3 linked regions of the Tamandua tetradactyla genome follow. The protein of the gene in region 1 interacts with the protein of each later gene in a pairwise test. Links are inferred from orthologs where the notes say so. Each region holds a gene or a part of one and is shown in the gene's direction. Other genes may lie near its edges.

Evidence for each region.
Region 2: the proteins of TRIM23 (region 1) and BRME1 interact in binary tests that used the Homo sapiens proteins (3 or more experiments, as listed by UniProt). The two-hybrid records come from large-scale screens. The link is inferred for Tamandua tetradactyla from reciprocal best matches to the Homo sapiens genes TRIM23 and BRME1.
Region 3: the proteins of TRIM23 (region 1) and GPKOW interact in binary tests that used the Homo sapiens proteins (3 or more experiments, as listed by UniProt). The two-hybrid records come from large-scale screens. The link is inferred for Tamandua tetradactyla from reciprocal best matches to the Homo sapiens genes TRIM23 and GPKOW.

The regions. Positions count from the first base shown.
Region 1 is NC_135335.1:113,430,984-113,434,731, reverse strand, and holds the start of TRIM23 (E3 ubiquitin-protein ligase TRIM23), read left to right. Parts: upstream 1-1,540; 5' UTR 1,541-1,616; coding exon 1,617-1,697; intron 1,698-3,748. Other genes in the region: TRAPPC13 (trafficking protein particle complex subunit 13), read right to left, coding at 871-916.
Region 2 is NC_135337.1:88,891,774-88,895,521, forward strand, and holds the start of BRME1 (break repair meiotic recombinase recruitment factor 1), read left to right. Parts: upstream 1-1,023; 5' UTR 1,024-1,062; intron 1,063-1,068; exon of another isoform or gene 1,069-1,243; intron 1,244-1,348; 5' UTR 1,349-1,408; intron 1,409-1,917; 5' UTR 1,918-1,938; coding exon 1,939-1,969; intron 1,970-2,427; coding exon 2,428-2,463; intron 2,464-3,748. Other genes in the region: CC2D1A (coiled-coil and C2 domain-containing protein 1A), read right to left, coding at 588-647. UniProt on the Homo sapiens protein: Meiotic recombination factor component of recombination bridges involved in meiotic double-strand break repair.
Region 3 is NC_135353.1:121,049,970-121,053,717, forward strand, and holds the start of GPKOW (G-patch domain and KOW motifs-containing protein), read left to right. Parts: upstream 1-1,159; 5' UTR 1,160-1,222; intron 1,223-2,650; 5' UTR 2,651-2,688; exon of another isoform or gene 2,689-2,755; intron 2,756-3,748. UniProt on the Homo sapiens protein: RNA-binding protein involved in pre-mRNA splicing. As a component of the minor spliceosome, involved in the splicing of U12-type introns in pre-mRNAs.

The DNA.
Region 1 (3,748 bases):
AAATGGATGCCATAAGGAAGATAAGTACAAGTCAAATGAATTAAAATGCCCATTGAGCACTTGTGTAGCTCAATCCAAAAATGTATCCACATATTAGAGCATCTTAAAAATAAAAAGTGCATTTGTGATAGTAAAAAACATGAATTAAGGCCGGAAACACTTCAAATAAAAGGTCTTCAGAAACCAATAGGAATTCCAGGAAAACCTTAAATTCCTGCTGTTTTTTCTCTTAAATAATGACCTAATTAAATCGTTAAACTTACTCAAAAATTGTTTTTAGGTGTACAAAAATAGAAAATTGACATGAGATCTTGGACCTATTTCCCCTATACATAATGCTTTGAAATAAAGTAAGTTTTAACAAACCTCAGCTATATGGTGTAATACTGTGTATTTCTAAATCCTTGGCACTGTTGTCATAATACTACACTAATTTTACAGAAGAAGCTGCAGCCCGGTAACTCTGTCAGTGCCACACGAAGAGACCTGAGACTATGAAAAGCACTTTGGATGCACGCTGTAAATCACCCTCGTTCAAGGGGGAAATCACCAAACAGAGTCCATACAGCAGGTTCTGCGGTTAAATTCTGCTTGATGATCGCACGGGCATGATCAGAGAGGGTAATGTACGAGGTGTCATTCCATTCTAGAGGGCGGCTCTCAAGCCTAAAAAGCGAAGAAGCGAAATCGCTTCCTCCCGCTCGGTCCCTTGGCGCAGAGCAGGAGGCACAGCCCTGACGCCGTTTTAAGAAAGGCGAGGACTACACCTCAGACGCCAAGTCTACATGTCAAAGGCTTCAAGAATCAGTGAGAAAAAGGAAACAAACAAACAAAAATAGAATAAGGGGCGTCAAGTTAGCAATACTTTACCCTTCAACGCCAGCAGGTGCTCCTGTTTGGGGGGATTCACCTCCATCTTGACCGGTACCACCGCCTACGGGGGCCGCAGAGGTTCAGCCCGGCCCAGAAGAAAACACGGAAGCGCGCGCTCGGGAAGCCCGCGCGTCAAACACTTCTAACAGCTTCTCAGCCAGCGGTGCCTTAAATTCTCCCTCTACCCCGTTCTTTAGGGCTCCAACAGCTTCTTTTCACCAAAGGTAATCCCTGTCTCTTAGATATCTATACATGAAATACTTCTCCATATTCAGGCTACAACCGCATATCAAACCACTTCCAGGTAACCATACACCGCCGCCCAGATGCCCTCCCCAGCGAGTAAGCAGCGAGGCGCGGCATGCTGGGATTTGTAGTTCTTATAATGCCGCATTGCATTTAGGGGAATGTAGTTCCTGCGCCCGGTCTGGCAGTGGGGACGAGACTTCTTTACAAAAGCGCAAGTTTCACTCACAGATTTTACTTCTGTCTTATCCCATCCTTTTTTCTTGACTTTCTTTCCCCTAGCAGGTGCACATTCCTTAATACCAGTCAAACAATAAAAACAGAGCGAACAAAACGCGGCGCGCGGAGAACCGGTCCGCGGCCGCCGGCCGGGCGCGCGCAGCGTCGTCCCGCGCCCCACGCCGGCCGCGGTCGCCGAGGCGTCTGGGTAGGTGGCTCGCCTTCGCCGCCGCGTTGAAGCCCGTGAAGGCTGCTTCTGCCGCTCCGCTGCGCCCAGGATGGCTGCCCTGGTTGTAAACAAGCCCGGCGCAGGTCTAGACAGCGGCCGGCAGGGCAGCCGAGGGACGGCCGTGGTGAAGGTGAGGGACCTGGCGTGCTCTGTCCACCGTCGGCCTCCGTTTCTCGGGGCTCGTCCCGAAAGCCTGGCCCAGGCGTGGAAGGGAAGGGTGCGGGGCCTCTGCGCCCCCCGGGCGTGCCGAGCCGTGCGCTGCTCTTCGCGACCCGAGGTCCGCTGGCCCGAGATTGTCTGGTCTCCTGCTCGGACCGGCCCTGTGCTGGACGTCGCCAGCGGGGACGTTTCTGAAAAGGAGATTGTGGGAGTGACCCGAGCTGCCTGTGCCCGGGTTTTGGCTTACCGTAACAGGCATTAGTTCGCTTATTGTTTATTAAATTGGGATATTGTGAGGTAGTGTTAGGTGCTTTCGGTCGTTAATATCTGTGAGGCCGATGTTGATCCCCGTTTTACAGATGAGGATTTGATTTGGGGTAGGTGGCAGTGTGCGGTAGAGCCAGGGTTGGCGGCTTCTGAAGTGTGCACGTCTCCCCGCTGCACTGGTTCTGTACTGCGGTGTCTATTCTTGGTTGAACTGCCTCCTCCGCACTTGGTAGTGCCGTCCGTCCGCGCTTAAGGAGTCTCCAGTTGCAGCGTTGCACGGCCTTAACGCTAGTGTTTGTGAATTACGGTGTGTATGTAAGTAGTCCAAAATGCCTTTGTTAAAAATCCGCCTGAAATACGTGGGACTCATTTTTCCTCTTGGCATGTATCTATCTATCTATATATGGAATTGAAGACTTGATTTCAGTGGCTGTTAGAGAGACCTTCAGGATCACCTGAAATCTAAGGAATTGGTATTTCTCATCCCTGGCTGCGTATTAGAATCACGGAAGAGTTTTTAACAGCTGCAGATGCAATCCTCCTTCCCCAATGCTGATTCATTTGTTATTAGCATCTTTTTAAAACCCGCTGAGGAGATTGTAATTGCAACCAGGGTTGAGAACCACTGGGCCAGATAATATCTGAAGTTATTTTAAGGTCTTGAATGATACCTGTGATTTTTCACCTAATGTTTTTTTTATGACAGTAAATGATGCATTTCTGGCCACAGTTTAGCATTAATCAGTTTTAGTAGTTGATGATTTATGTAACTGTTATATACTAATGAAGTTATTCTGAAGGTACACAGCATAACCGAGATGTAGATATTATTACTAGGCATATTGTATGGTTGAGATTTTATTTATTGTGCTTTTTCTGAGGGCATACCTGCAGATTATTTTGAGAATCAACTTTAAGAAATTTTATACTATAACTGAAATGGGTATCATTGCTCTATTTTTGTTATCCTGTTATAATATCAAAAGTATACTATAGTCTGATATAACTCCAGTTTGTTATAGCACAAATTGAATTTCTTAGAGTCTTATTTTATTCATTTTGTTCTTTAAATGTAAAATATATTGGTCCCATGCACGAAGTAGACCTTTTTGGCAAGATGGTCATGCCACAATTCCTAAACAAATATGGTGCTATGAATTTAAAAATCTTTTTATCATTTTCATAGATGAATGTAAGAAGTATTCATTAATACTTAATACATTAATACATTAAAGGTCAAGCGTAAAATACTAATAATATATAACATGGCTTTTTTTAGTCTTTTTTTTATTGTGATAGTATATATAACACAGAAGTTCCCATTTTAGCCATTTTTAAGTTATACTGTACTAGTATTAATTAAATTCATGTGCTACCATCGCATTCATTCATTACCCAAACTTTTCTCCCACTCCAAACAGAAACGTTTTACACATTCTTTCTTTCCTTAGCCCCAGCAACCTTTGATCTACTTTCTGTCTCTATGAATTTGCTTATTCAAGATATTGCATGTAAATGGAATTCTATCTTTGCTCCTTGTGTCTGCTTGTTTCACTCAACATAATACTTTCAAGGTTTATCCAGGTTGTAGCAAATACATGTAGAATTTCATTCCGTTATATGGTTGAACAATAGTTTGTTGTACTTATATGTCATGTTTACCCACTCATCTGTCGATGGACCCTGGGGTTGTTTCCACTTCTTGGCGATTGTAAATAATGCGGTTGTGGTCTCTGATTTCAATTTTGAGTCCTT
Region 2 (3,748 bases), on another chromosome or scaffold:
GTGTCCAATGTGCAGGTGCGGGAGGGAAATTTTAGGCCTACCAGACTAAGGCCTGGTCACTGAACCATGCCCTGGGCTCCCTCCATCAAAGCTGAGAAAAGCTGAACGCCTGGGTGCTGGGTGTCTGGGGTACAGGAGCTAAGGGAGGGGAGAGGTTCAGCCACAGTCCTGGGGAGCTCGAGGAAAGCAGCTTTCCATTTGTATTTCTGGTCAAGCAGTTAATCCCTATGACCTTGGGCAGGTGTCTTCATCTCTATTTTGTCACCTGGTCAGAGATCAGGACTGGTGAGATTTTATGACTGTGCAGATGGGGAACTCTGGGCCTGGCCTTAGCGACCTAGAGCTGCTGCGGCAACAGGTGGCCCCGAGCCCGGAACGAGACGGCAGGAGCTGGGGGGGCCGGGCCCTGGAGGCCGCACTGTGAAAGGCCAGGGGTGAGCGGCCTCCCCTGGTGGGGGCGGGGGGGCCGGGGACCGGGTCTCACCTGGAGGGCGGGGATCAGCGCCCCTGGTGGGTGGGGCCCCCCCCAAGCGTGTGATAGGGGTAGGGAAGGTGCATCGGGCGGGACCGAGGGGGCACTAACTCACCTGGCGGGCGGCGGCGGCGCCTCGGCCCGGAGGTCCTGGGGGTCCCTTCCTCTTGTGCATCGTCTAGGCTGGATCCCCAGACCACCGGCGCCGGCTCCCGGCCTTGCCCTGCCTCCTCACCGCCCCCCCCACGCGCCGGGGCCTGTTCCCGCGCACGCGCTCTTCACGGGAGACGCGGGTCCCCTCTCTCAGCGCCCCGCGCCCTCGCTCTCGCCCCCCGGGGTGACCGCCCCACTTCCGCCTCGGCCCTTGGGAAGCCGTCACCGCAAGGGAGCGCGGCCACTAAACTCGCCAGGTCCGCCGCCCGAACTACAACTCCCGACAGACAGCGCGCAGGAGCGCATGCGCAGAGCGGGAAGGCGGGTGAAATCGTGGGTGGCGCGGGGAAAGAGGCGGAACGTGAGGGTGGGGGCTGTGTCGCGCATGCGCATTGCCTGCCTTGGCGCTGCGCGGGAAAGAGGCGGAGCGTGTGCAGGTGTGAGAGGCGGTGGCGGCTGCGCGGTTGTCGGCTTCCCTTCGCCACCTGCGGGCGCCGGTCCCACCTGGGTGGCCGGGCCTGAGGAGTCCTCATGTTTCAGGGTCCGGTGTAGGGTTAATGCGGGTCTAGTGGCCGAAAAACGGGGTTCCACAGCGCCAGGCCTCAGGCCTCCCGTCCCGTCAGTCCTCGACCTCCATTCCTTCAACTCCTTACAAGCATTAGTTTTGTCTTTTTTTCTCAAAATAATTTAATGCACATAATTTGACTGATTTTACCCTAACAGATCCAGGAAGCGCTAGTTGCTGCCAAGTTCAGAGGGACCTCCACAATTTCTCTGGCCTAGGTGGGTTTTGGCTAACCGGGACTCGAGGCTGAAAGAAATGGGTCCGTGGGTCACTGCTGCTCCTCCAAGGGCCCAAGCCTTCCCTAAAGACATCTAAGAGCCCCCTTAAAAGTCCCAGGTGTTCAAGTAAAGGGACCCCCGGTGGCTCCTGGAATGGCTCTAGGTACCCCAGCAGGAACTCAGGGCTCGGCACAGGCTGTTGCAGCCCGGGGAACTAGAGGAGGGTTTCCCACAGAGGACCACCTATGCCCACATGCTGCCCAGACTCACCTGGGTCAGTGGACATAAGGTGGGCAGTCCCACTGCAACGTGGAGGTTTTTACCTGGCGTTTGGCTAAGGTGGCAGATCTTGTGCCATGGACAAAGACTGTGACCCCCACCTTGTATCCTATTGGGTCCCATGAACCCCTTGGGGCAGCTGGACAGCCCAGTGGGGTGGGGCTGGTATCTGCTCTTGGAACCACTGACTCAGATTGTTATAATGGAAGGTCTTTGCTTGTTGTCTTCAGGTTTCTCAAGGGAAAGCTGAGATGAGTAAAAGGAAGAAGCTTCGAACCTCAGGTATTTGTCCAGGTTGACACTGCTTTTTTGCTGCTTCTGCATATAGGGGGGATATGCAGAAATGCAAATGGGACCACTCCAGGTTCCTTAAAAGAAAAATGACTTAATACATGCTAATAGGAAAAAGATACAGATTTTGAAGGAGTATGTAAAATGAAATGTGACAGCTTTTTGGAGTCTGTAGGCTTTGGGGGAGGGGTACAGCAGTCTTGGAACCTAGTGCCAGAGATGTCCCCCAAATTAGAGCTTGATGGGCTAAAATGCAAGCCAGTCCATTTTGTGGCCAGTTGCTTCACTCGGGAACCACACACACTGGTTTCATAAACCTGGCTCACTCACTTTGTGATGGAGAATGAGTTCCTCTGTGCCTTGGGGAAAAATACTGTGGCAAAATAGGCATAACATTTCCTTTCCTATAAATCAGGTATAGTAAGCGCACCTACCCTTTCTGTTTATAGCAGAAGAAAATCTCATCTCCAAGGATTTAGCCAAAGGTGAGTATAGTGAGACTTTACTAGTTGCTTCCGCAGCATTTATGCTTCTGCCAAACCAGTTGTCCCCACATCTACCACAAGCCAGAGCAGAAACTGTTTGCTTTAAGAAACCGCATATCCCCTGTCCCTTGGCCATAGCAATCAGTGGCAGCAGTGATTCTCGGCCAGGGCAGTTTTGTCCCCCCAGAGGACAGTCAGCAATGTCTGGAGATATTTTTGGTCATCGCTGCTGGTGGGGGGAAGGTGCTGCTGGCGTCAAGGCCAGGGATGCTGCCAACAGCCTATAACTATAGCACAGGATGGCCCCTACCCCAAAGAATGATCCGGCTGCAGATGCCAAGAGTGCTGAGGCTCAGAAACCCTGCCATAGAGCTGTTGTGCAGATTAAATGAGTGCGTATTTTAAAGCACTGAGAACAGACCACAGGTAGTACCTAAATATGTGCTATTAATATGTCTTGCCTGACTTTTTTCTTACTGTCACAAAATAGATATAATGTAAAATTTGCCATTTTAGAAGCCATTTTTTTCTTCAGTTTTTTTCTTTTTAAATTTTTAAAAAATATGTAACAAATACAAACATTCTTTTTTTTACAAACATTCTTAATATATGATCATTCTGTTCTACATATGTAGTTAATAATTCACAATATTATCACATAGTTGCATATTCATCATCATGATCATTTCTTAGAACATTTGCATCAATTCAGAAAAAGAAATAAAAAGACAACAGAAAAAAATTCATCCATACTATACCCCTTACCCCTCCCTTTCACTGATCACTAGCATTTCAATCTAAATTTATTTTAACATTTGTTCCTCCTATTATTTATTTTTATTCCATTTGTTTTACTTGTCTGTTGATAAAGTAGATAAAAGGAGCATCAGACACAAGGTTTTCACAATCACAACAGTCACATTGTGAAAGCTATATCATTATACAATCATTTTAAGACACATGGCTACTGGAACACACCTCTGCATTTTCAGGCAGTTCCCTCCAGCCTCTCCATTACATCTTGACTAACAAGGTGATATCTGTTTAATGTGTAAGAATAACCTCCAGGATAACCTGTGGAATCTCTCAGCCATTGACACTTTATTTTGTCTCGTTTCACTCTTCCCCCTTTTGGTCGAGAAGGTTTTCTCAATCCCTTGATGCTGAGCCCCAGCTTATGCTAGGATTTCTGCCCCACGTTGGCAGAAAGGTCCACACCCCTGGGAGTCATGTCCCATGTAGACAGGGGGACGGTGGTGAGTTTGCTTGTTGTGTTGGCTGAAGA
Region 3 (3,748 bases), on another chromosome or scaffold:
CACCGCACGGGGCTGGGCGCCTGGCCGGGAGCGGCCGATCTCAGCTGCGTCCAGGCCCAGGCCGGTCGCCAAGTGAGCGTGCCCCGGAGCTCGAACCGCGTCGCTGGTGGCCCTACGTCCACCCGGCCGCCTCCGGGCCTTGGAGCCGCGCCGGGAAGGCGCCACGGACCCTAGGGGAGGCCGAGGAGGTACCAGGGGGAGGAAGAGGGGAGCGCGCTCTCTGCCCGCGCCCTCGCCCGGCCTTTCTTCCTGCAGGTTGTAAACGCAGCAGTTCTGGCGCCCAAGTGGCGGCGAGCAGCGGCCCAGCTACCAGGGCTGGGCCCGAGACCCCCTACCCACACCTACTCTAGGGGTCCGCGCCCCAGATCCCGGCTCACTCCGGAGTCTCCGGGGAGACGGGCGCGGTCGGGCTTCCCGGTGTCCCTGAGCACACCCCGGCAGTCAGGATTTGGGGTGAATGGGGGCTTGAGGAGGAGCTCGGGGCCTCTGCAGAGAGAGAGTCTGCAGTTCCGGGGAATATCTAGGGAATCGGGGCCTCCCAAGGGATTTGTGCAGGGTGGCTGAGGACCCCAGGATATTTGGAAGCAGATTCGGGGATCCCGGGTTTCCTGGTGTCGACATCGCGTCTCGGGACATCTTGGGGACATCAGGGTCTCCGGAGATATTGAGGGGGGCGCATTTGGAGCCCCAGGGAATTGGGGAGCAGTCGTGGACCTCCAGAAGCATGCAGCGAGTGGTTGAAGGTGTCCAGGAATAGTACAGCGAAACGGCTGTCTCCAGGGGCGAGTGGAGTTCCACGGGCATACCCGAGACGGTCGGGGGGCGCGGGAGAGGTTGAGGGGCAGTCGATGTCCTCCGGAACTATCGAGGGAGTGAGTGGTCAGGGGTGTCCGGGGACCTCGAGGGGCATCTAGGCTTCGGACGTCTGGAAGCATGGGGGTGTTCCGAGGCTGAGGGTGGGCGCTGACCTGTCCCCCTCCCGCTCAGGCCGCGGCCCTGCCCCGCCCGCGGGCGCCAGCGCCCGGCAGCTCCTGGCGCGGCTCGACGCGCGCCCCCTAGCGGCCCGAGCTGCGGCGGACGTGGCGGCCCTGGCGCGCAGGGCAGGAGCAACATTGCGCCTGCGCCCCAAGGAGGGTGAGTGACCCTGCCGCGGTCCTCTGGGGAGGCGGGGAAGAAGGGGAGCTGCTGGGTGCTTTGGAGGCGGCAGGACCCAGATCGTTGGGTACTTCCCCTGGTTGGGGCCCAGAGGCGTGAGTTGAGGGGGCGGGGCTGGCATCGCGTCCCAGGGGCGGGACCCGGTGTTATCCTAGATTGTTAGTGTAGGAAGTGCGCCGTGCATGGGTAATTCCAGTAGGCAATGCCAGAACTGTAAGGGGGGTGGGCGGGGCGGGCCTGGATAATTATTTCCGCCAGCGGGTCTTCGATTGTTGTTTTCTGAGGGGGCGGGTGCTGGAGGGTTATTGCGGTGAGGAGATAAAGTAGAAGAGGGGCGTGGAATGCCAGTTAAGGAGCAGACGGTGCTTGAAATGTCAGGCATTTTTGAGGTTCAGAGGGCGGGCCTGGAATGTTTGGGAGCCCAATCCTGGATTTTCACTCTCCCAGGTGTATCTAAGGGTATTATTTGAGGGGATGGGATTTGGGGCGTTTTAGACACGGGCTGTAGTATTATTCACATAGCCCTGTCTGGGATTATGAATTAAGAGGTGGGGTCGATATACACACAGTGGAATACTTTTCAGCCCTAGAAAGGAATGAAGTTCTCATACATACTACAACGTGGATGAGCCTTGAAGACGTCAGTTGAGTGAAATAAGCCAGACGCTAAAGAACAAATATTGTATGATCTTATTATATGACATAATTAGAATGTAGGCTGCCAGTGGCAGGGTGGGGAGTGGGGAGTTAAAGGCTTACACTGTACAGTGTTTGTTTGGAGTGGTGGGAAAATTTGGTAATGGTGATGGCATCCCAGTACTGTGAATGTAATGAATAACACTGGTTTGTATACTTGCGAGTGGTTGACATGGGGAGTTTTAGCTTGTATATGTATTGCCACCATTAAAAATACAACCCGTAGAACTGTACAACACAAATTTTGAACCCTAATATAAACTATGGAGTTTATTTAATAATATAATTATAATGTTATTGGTTCATCAATTGTAACAAATGTTACAATATGCAATGTTAACAATGGGAAAAACTGGGTGTGAAGGGATGTGTATGGGAACTCTACTTTCTGCATGATTTTTCTGTAAACCTGCAACTGGTGTTCTATAAATACATACATATTTTTTTGTTGTTGTTTTTTACATGGGCAGGCACCAGGAATCAAACCCGGGTCTCTAGCATGGTAAGGGAGAACTCTCTGCCACTGAGCCACCGTTGCCCGCCCTTAAAAATATGTATTTTTAAAAGTGCTCTAAAATAAATTAAGTGCTCTAAAAATAATTGTTTTAAAAACTTTATGGTTTTTTTGTGGTGCAGACCTAGGATGATTACTTGAGGGGTGGGGCCTAGATAGTTCTTTAGGTGGGCAGACCCGGATGTGAGTTCAGAGGGTTGAAAATGGCATGTTAATTTGTGGGGTGGGGTTTCCGTGGTTTATCCAATTGTACTCAACTGCGTTCTTATTATGTTCTATCCTTAGTTGCTATCCTGCTGGACTCTGCAACCATCAACATCATGGTTAGTTGCCTGCCCCGAGTCCGCTTTGCCATCCGCGTACAGGTCCCAGCATGACAAAGACAGTAAGGTCTGAGAAACAGTGAACATTTTGGGGGGAACTATGACAGGCCTAGGGTGCTGGAGACTGCTTTATTCAAACTTGGGGAGGGGGCGGAAGATGAGGATCCTAGCAGCTGAAGGAGAACAGTGGACAGGGCCTCACTGAGAATCCCGGGCAAGCCCTGAATATAGAGAATTGAGTAAGAACCCAATTGGGTAAGAAGGGCAGAGTGGCTAGGTTCAAGTGTGACTCTCCACCACCAGCTTCTTGACCTTTTATACTTCATTTAATCTCTGTATGAAAAGCTTAATTGCCTGAATATAAAAGTAATAGATTAATATCTTAAGGATGAGAACTGTGTAAAGTCCATATTTTTCTGTCGTTATCTCTTCTTTCTGACTTTAAAAATTTGTAGAAATTGGGGATGCGAGGGTACGTCAGTGGAAGAATTCTGGCTTACCATGGGGAGACTGGGGTTCGATTCCTGGCCCATGCACTTCCCAAACAAAGAAAACAAACCAACTAAAATAAACAAAGTTCAACAAATGATGCTGAAATAACGGGCTACTCACATGGAAAAAGAATGAAATGTGACCCTGCCATACAGCATACAAACAAAAAAAATTGTAGAAATTTGATTTAACATATATGAAATCATGGTAATGTTTTAAATCCTACTTTTTCAAAACTATTCTAACAGCTTTATTGAGCTATAATTCACATGCCATATAATTCACCCATTTACAGTGTACACTTTGAAGGTTTTTAATATATCCGCAGGGTTGTACAATCATCACTGCAATTGTAAATTTAGAACATTTTCCTTTCCCTAAAAGGAAACCCATACCTACTAGCAATCACTTCCTGTTCTCTAACTCTAATTAGCCCCCCCCAAGCCATAGGCAACCAGTAATATATTTTCTGTCTCATAGATTTGCTTATTCTCAACACTTAATAAAAATTGACTACTACAATATGTGGTCTTTTGTAACTGGCTTCTTTCACTGAGCATAGTATTCC